Linked DNA regions of Macaca mulatta. The protein of the gene in region 2 interacts with the protein of the main gene of each other region in a pairwise test. Links are inferred from orthologs where the notes say so. Each region holds a gene or a part of one and is shown on either strand. Other genes may lie near its edges.

The links. The genes of interacting proteins can lie anywhere in the genome.
Region 1: the proteins of PEX16 (region 2) and PEX3 interact in binary tests that used the Homo sapiens proteins (3 or more experiments, as listed by UniProt). The link is inferred for Macaca mulatta from reciprocal best matches to the Homo sapiens genes PEX16 and PEX3.

What each region holds. Positions count from the first base shown.
Region 1 is NC_133409.1:48,706,004-48,710,294, reverse strand, and holds the start of PEX3 (peroxisomal biogenesis factor 3), read right to left. Parts: upstream 2,874-4,291; 5' UTR 2,690-2,873; coding exon 2,617-2,689; intron 1-2,616. Other genes in the region: ADAT2 (tRNA-specific adenosine deaminase 2), read left to right, coding at 3,071-3,166. UniProt on the Homo sapiens protein: Involved in peroxisome biosynthesis and integrity. Assembles membrane vesicles before the matrix proteins are translocated. As a docking factor for PEX19, is necessary for the import of peroxisomal membrane proteins in the peroxisomes.
Region 2 is NC_133419.1:19,705,832-19,708,945, reverse strand, and holds the end of PEX16 (peroxisomal biogenesis factor 16), read right to left. Parts: intron 1,810-3,114; coding exon 1,745-1,809; intron 1,154-1,744; coding exon of another isoform or gene 1,095-1,153; exon of another isoform or gene 1,023-1,094; coding exon 931-1,022; 3' UTR 505-930; downstream 1-504. UniProt on the Homo sapiens protein: Required for peroxisome membrane biogenesis. May play a role in early stages of peroxisome assembly. Can recruit other peroxisomal proteins, such as PEX3 and PMP34, to de novo peroxisomes derived from the endoplasmic reticulum (ER).

The DNA of each region.
Region 1 (4,291 bases), on a different chromosome or scaffold from region 2:
AAGCCTTTCTACTTGCCTTACATTGTAAAGCTAGCAAAGGAGAAATCAAGGCTGTAGTGAGCTATGATCACACCACTGTATTTTAGCTTGGGTAAAGAGCAAGACCCTGTCTGAAAAAAAAAAAAAAACAAAAACAAAAACCGAACACACCCAAACACCCCAAACTGGTCAAATTATACAAACTGGTGTAAACCAATTAGTTACCCATCTAAAATTCAAGGAAACAGAAATTGTTACTTAAGAAGGCCTGCTACTGAAGGTTTTACTTACTTATTTCCCCCACGATTGAATGACCAAACTTCTCCAAGCATCCTGTTGATATACTGTCCAGCTTTCGAGCCTGTCAAAATGTGTCTCTTTTTCCATGAAATTCTTCCTGATTTTTCACAACTGTATATGCTACTTGCCAGTGTGATCTGTACAGCATTTTTTCACCTCTCTTGTTTTTCTGTATCTTAATTACATGTATACTTGCTTTTCCTTCCTATCAGACCATAAAGACCATGGAAGCACAGTGATATAATGTGGAAAGAGAATGTGCTTTGGGGTCCAACACACCTGGGTTTGAATTCCAGTTTCCCTTCACTAATTCTGAGACCTGAGGCAAGTTTCTTAAATTCTTAGGGCTCTTGTTGCCACATTTTTGAATGGGGATAATAATAACTGCCTTCTTGTCATTCTGCCTAAATAGGAAGAGCTTAGCACAATGCCCAGTGTAAAGTGGGCTCCCAATAAATAGTAGCTGTTACTATTAAAAATCTATAAATCTTGTATTTCCATACATATTACTTTCAGCACTACAGGTACTTGATAAATATTTCTTAAGTCAGATTAATTAAAATCTAACATACTGTAGAACTTTCTCCCTGAAGCAGAAAGAATACAAGGCTCAAACAAATGCCAACCATGGTCATCTACTCTTCCTTTCTTTTCAGACTGACTCCTTTATTGATATAAAACACTAGGATTATTTTCTCTTTCTATCCGTCTAAACTTTTCTTTTTTTGCATTCCTCTTATTCTGTAACTATAAGGCTCTTGTTAGATTTTTTTTTTTTAATTATAAATTTCTTTTAAGTCTACTCTTTTGCTTCCCCTGTGATTATTTCTAATTTACCACAAGGTTGTTCCATAAGCTGAAGGAGTATTCCTTCTGAGATTGTTAGAGATAATTTTCCTTCCTTCGGTAAAGGCAAAAATACTTTATTTGTATTGCTTCAATCACACATCTATTTTTAGCTTTTATAAATAAAATGGACTCGGTAGTCTTAGGATAATTTAAATATACATTAGATACTAGAGAATGAAGATATCAGAAAATACCTTTTATATATAAAGGATTTCTCAAAGATGTTCAAAATTTACACGCTTATTATTGATCTGTGATAGATGTCAGAGGCATGCAAACACCATCCTTGGCTCAGCAACAAGAACTCTGTTTCAAACTTTGAAGCATCACCAAAATCTGAACTATTGATGCTAAAGGTACTGTTAATTGCAAATTGTTTGGGGAGAACAGAATACAATCTAATAAGTATTGTTAATTTCAAATTGTTTGGGGAGAACAGAATACAATCTAATATGTATTGTTAATTTCAAATTGTTTGGGGAGAACAGAATACAATCTAATACTAAGAGAAAAGCCAACCAAATTCTTTGGGAACCTCTGTTCTTTAAGTACTTCTGTAAACACAGCACATAATAAGTGATAAGAATATTTCTCAAAAACTCAAGTTACAACAAATTTCCTCTTTTAAAGTTCCTAGATGTTCTTTTCATATAATTCACAAAGCTTTTTATTCCCTCCTTCAAATCCCTGAATATTATCACATGAGCATTGTATGAGGGAAAAGGGTCTCAAGATTTTTATCTTATCTGTTTCTAAATCTCCTCTGGGCCCGTGCAACTCAGCTATGTCAGTTAGATTACAATGATCCCAACCTTGAAGATCCTGAGGAAGACTGCGCAACATCCCTCAAGCATTTTTCTTACTGCCACAGTTTGTATTCTAAAATGGCAGAAACAGAGCTAAAATATTGATTTGTTTTTCTTTATCTAATCCATCTCTTTCAGTCCTTCAGGACAACTGCGCTGTTTTCAAAAATTCAAATCGACTTTAACCACCACCTAGATTATTATTAAACTCCCTCCCCTAGATTATTATTAAACTCCTGAGAGTTTATTATTATTTATTTATTTATCATTTATTATTAAACCACCTCCCCTAGATTATTATTAAACTCCTGAGAAGGGTGAGAGCCATAGTGCCAAGAGTGCCAAGGAGAAATGAAGAATCTCACAGGAAAGCAGAATTTTTTAAAAAAAGTTCCTGTAACAGAAACTTAAACTGTACTGAATTCTCCAAAGGTCCGTGAGAAAAAAGGATAGGTGAGAAACAGTTAAGAGGCGGTGACAGGGCAAAGGGCACAGAGGCATTTCTCAACTGCAGAGATGGGAGAACCCTTGAGGTTGGCCACCTCCCTTTCCATCCCATGGTTGATCGAATCCCCTCTACAGATCCCAGACTAGGTTCGCCCCGGCCTGTTCTTATTTTAGAAAAAGTCACCTCTCCCACTCCCTTCTCCCAATGCCCACTTTCAAGAACGTTGTCACCCACCTCCAAGGACCGTGCCCAGGAAGATGCATTTCTTTTTGTGGCGTTTCAGAAAATTCCATACGGACCTCAGCATCTTTAGGCCCTAGGGGTGTGCGCTGACTATGAGTGAGGGGCTGCTTCACCGGGAAACTGTTTCTTCGTCACCTGGCCCAGATGACCAAGCAAGAGCGCCGCCGTCCCGCTCTGCGCTCTCCCGAAATCACAAACGTGGCTTTCCGCAGACTGTCACCGGAGCGGCAAGGGGGCGTGGACTAGAGCAAAGCAGCTGCGCTTTCTGCGGCTGCCGCGGCGCAGCCGCCGCTGCTCACTGGTCCGACACGCCCAGGTCCGTTCAGAAATCGCTCCCGAGTGCCTTTCCATTCGACTCCCCCGGAAACGGGGGCCCGGGCCCGCCGCGTTCCGCTGCCCGCGCTCCTCCTCCGCGGCGGCCTTTGGCGCTGAGTGGTGGCCGGGTATGGAGGCGAAGGCGGCGCCCAAGTCAGCTGCAGGCGGCGCGTGCTCGGTGTCGGCAGAAGAGACCGAAAAGTGGATGGAGGAGGCAATGCACATGGTGAGGAGCCCGGGAGGTGAATGCTGCGGGGTGGGACCTTTCTCCAGCCCTCACCCCAACCACGGCATTTGAGCAAACGTTCTTTCTCGTCACCATAATTTTTATGGCAGTCAGATGTTCTGGGTGAACTACTGGCTTTACTGCCTCGAAACTTTCTGTAGCCCATTCTCACAGTGACTATGGGCGAAGGAAAGGGAGGAAATACAGAAATTATTTGTTTCATTGGGGTGGAGTATGCTGCAGACTTAGCATTCTGTCGCTGGCTGGCACGTGCTGCCTCCCTTTCCTTTCTGTGGTCACACTCTCCAATCTACAACATCACATTATTTGAGGTTTTGGCCCCTGGACCATGTCCAGCAGAAGGAAGGAAACTGAGAACGTTTCTGGTAGAGAGCAGTATGGAAACAAATACCTGTAGAATCGGTGTCTCGCATTCATTCATTCTTTCCTCTGCCCTTTTACGTCCTTCCCTCACTCCCTTCAGGTCTGCGGAGTAAAGGGGGCTTTCAACAGAATGGTGTGTGCTAGCGAGCTTCTTAACTGGGAAAATAGTTTGTTTGCAAATATGTATATTTACATTTTAATAACTGTACATACAGCCACGTGCCACATAATGACCTGTCTGTAAAGGTCGTTATTCTGGAGCATTAAATCTACTCACCTTAGCCCTATTGTCCCATCCAAGTACTAACCAGACCTGACCCTGCTCAGCGTCCGAGATTGGGGGACGTTCAGGGTGGTATGGAGGTAGACAACACTAGTCTCTATGTAGACTTCTGGGCTAAACCTTTTTGCCACCTTTTAGGTTGACCTTGGGCTAGCACAAGTAAATACATTTGCATACGTTTACAAACAAACTGTTATCCCAGTTAAGAAGCTCGCTAGCACTTTTCAGCTCCGTTATAATCTATAGGACCACATATACAGCGGTGGTCCTATAGGATTATAACGGAGCTGAAAAGTTCCTATTGCCTAGTGACATGTAGCCCTCCTAACAAGTACTTTTTTCCCTTTAACACCTTGAAGAAACATGTATATGCCAAAACCCAAGAAGCAGCTGCCTCCTTAGTCTTGTGTAGGAGGAGGTAAACTATGGAATCACATCCCTAGGTGTTTATAATACAA
Region 2 (3,114 bases):
CCTGTCTCCTCTGTTGGTGAGAGGCGGAGGACAGGGGTCCGTGCTTCACTGCTGGTTTCTGATGGCTGGGCATGTGCCCAGAAACGCCTGTTCCACTAAGCTGGAGACCATGGGAGCCCAGGCAGCCCCTGTGGGTGAGGGCCTGGGGGGCGCTCCTCAGAGGGCCCTGAGGAAAGCAGCGTGTCTGGGAGGAGCTGAGGCATGGAGGACCCAGGTGCAGATGGAGCCCTCTCTGTGGGTTTGAAACTCTAGCAGGAGAGGCTGGCTCTTCACAGGGCCAGTGGCTGAGGACAGGCTAAGGTCAGGGAGAAGAGCAGCCTGCAGCCCACCCCGTCCAGGCCCTCCCCCATAGCAGCTTACATGGCTCCAAGTGGACCCGACCTCTGGAGCCTGTAGGGCGAGTGTGGGGAACCCCCGCTCATACCCCCTGAACTGGCCCTGGCTTCCTCCCCAAGCCCGTCCAGCTCCCACTTCCTCCCCAGTACTGGCCGGTGCCGGACGTCCTTTTTCTAAGGAAGAAAAGCCTTTTACTCTCAACCAAGGATGCAGGGCTTGAAGTGCCACTTGCGTGGGAGCCAGGCTCACTGTTCACCAGGCTCTGTCATAGGGAGGCTGACAACACCATGGCCTTGGGCTGCCAGAGCCACACGGCCCTGCAGAGCAGGGGCAGGCAGAGGGCCCCGGCCATAAGACACGCTGGGCAGCGTTCAGGCATCACCCAGGTTCAGCCTTCCTGCCCTCACCAGGGGCCAGCGAGAGAGCAGCAGTGTTCGCTCCTGTGGCTGCCGAGGCAAGCGGCTTCCCAGGCTCCATGAGGTGAAGTTACCGCTTTCTGTGGGAGAGGAGGCTGGATTCCACTCCTGGTGAAGGCTTCTTGGCCCAGCAGTGACAAGGTGCGGGTTGCAGTGGCATCGTCACAGGAGGGCGCAGTCAAGAGGGTCCCGGGAAGAACGCTGGTGGCGACCAGGGCTGTGTGCAGGGCCTGGCCGGTAGGCACGGAAAGGCCGCACGCTGGGACGCTGCTGGAGTCAGTTTTATTAGGGAAGGGGGCCCCCTGCCCCGCCCCTCCCCACACCCTCCTTCCGGGAGGTCTGTCAGCCCCAACTGTAGAAGTAGATTTTCTGCCAGGTGGGCAAGTAATCCATGAGCGGCCCTGCAGTGGGAGAGGGACACGTCAGGGCGGGCCAGACCCCAATCTGCGCTGTGGCGCCACATACAGCACCTCACCCCTGCGGCCCAGGAGCCCGGCTGGCTCTCTTGCCCTGCCCCTAGGGAGGCAGCATTGCAGGGGACTCTGGCACCATTTACAGACGAGGACCCTCAGGCCGAGGGAAGCTCAGCCAGGGTAGGCACTGAGGGGCCTGAGTCCGGTCCAGTCACCCAGTGCAAGCCCAGTGGGCCTCTGCTGAGGGAGGATCTCAGCAGCCCGGTGGACTGCTTCTCCACCACTGAATCCCCCCACGATGACATGGTCCCGTATTGCTCCAGGATACTGTGACCAGAAAAAGGCTGGCAGCTGATGTGGTCTAACAGTCGCCCCACCACTGGACACCCTCCTTCCAGCCACCCCTGGCTCCTCAGGCCACCCTGGCTTTGGCCAGGGTAGTCCCACCCAATCCTGACTTCCCGACTTCCTCTCCTGACTGTGCCAAGAATCGAATTGCAAGGAGACACAGGAGTCAGGAAGATGGGGCACGCATGCGCCTCCCAGCACTACAGTCATCACGTCCCCGCCCCAGCTTACTTGTGACCAGGCCAACGCCAGGGATGTGGTCGGCCAGCAACTGGAGCAGGAAGAGGATCCTGGCCCTGGCGGAAGCAATAAATGGGGAGCAAGTTGAGTTGGGGGGGTCCCTGCAAACCAGGAGGCCCAGAGGCCTTCGCTTTCGAACGCAGCGCATTCCCAAAAACAAAGGTGACTTTTTTGGGAGCTAGGAGAGAGCCCGGTACACACGGGCGAGACCTCTGGGGTTGGCTCTGGCCTCCACGCCTTCCACCAGCTCAGCTTCGGGGTGGCCGCTGGCCCACAACACCTCCTCCCATTCCTCCTTTAACTTCCACCGACATCCAACACCAAAGGCCTCTGGAGGGTCATGTGTGGAGCAGCGCCCGGGCAGTATGGAGGCAGGTTCAGGGAAGACAACCCCACCCTGCCCTCGGGAAGCCCCCAATCTGGCAGAAGCGCTGGCCTGCATGGAAACCTCATAAGCCACCACCAAGAGCAGTCAGGACCCTGGGAGGAGACACAGTACTGAGGAGGGCACATTTTGGTTCAGGGGAAGGGCAAGGGCCAAGGCCCTGATTTTTAAGAGATGAGGGTTTTCCACAGGGGAACTCGGGTGAGAAGAGGATGCTGATGACAATACATAGTGCTAGGTGCTTACTACGCCCCACGCACTGCCGTATGCGTTAGTCACTGAACCTCCGAAAGTGGGTGCTGTCATTATGCCCACCTTACAGGTGAGGAAATGCGGCACAGGGCATCAAATAACTTGCCCAAGGCCACACATCTGGAAGGCAGCCTGGCTCCTTATGTGTCTGTCTGAGCAGCAAGAAAAGAGGAAGGTTGGCCGGGTGCAGTGGCTCACGCCTGTAATCCCAGCACTTTGGGAGGCCAAGGCGGGCGGACCACCTGTGGTCGGGAGTTTGAGATCAGCCTGACCAACATGGAGAAACCCCATCTCTACTAAAAAATACAAAATTAGCCAGGCATGGTGGCGCGTGCCTGTAATCCCAGCTACTCGGGAAGCTGAGGCAGGAGAATTGCTTGAACCCGGGAGGCGGAGGTTGCGGTGAGCCGAGATCACGCTGCCAGCCTGGGCAACAAGAGTGAAACTCCATCCCAAAAAACAAAAGAAAAGAGGAAGGCCGGCTGGGCGCAGTGGCTGTAATCCCAGCACTTTAGGAGGCCAAGGCAGGCCTTTGTTTCCCCAAAGGACAGGGAGCAGGGTCCAGAGAGATGCCAGGGTACAGTCCGGAAGGAGCAGCCTTAAGTTTTTTTTTTTTGTTTTAAAAAAAGAGACGGTGTCTTGCTCTGTCACCCAGACTGGAGTGCACTCACACGATCTCGGCTCACTGCAACCTCCGCCTCCTGGGTTCGAGCGATTCTCCTGC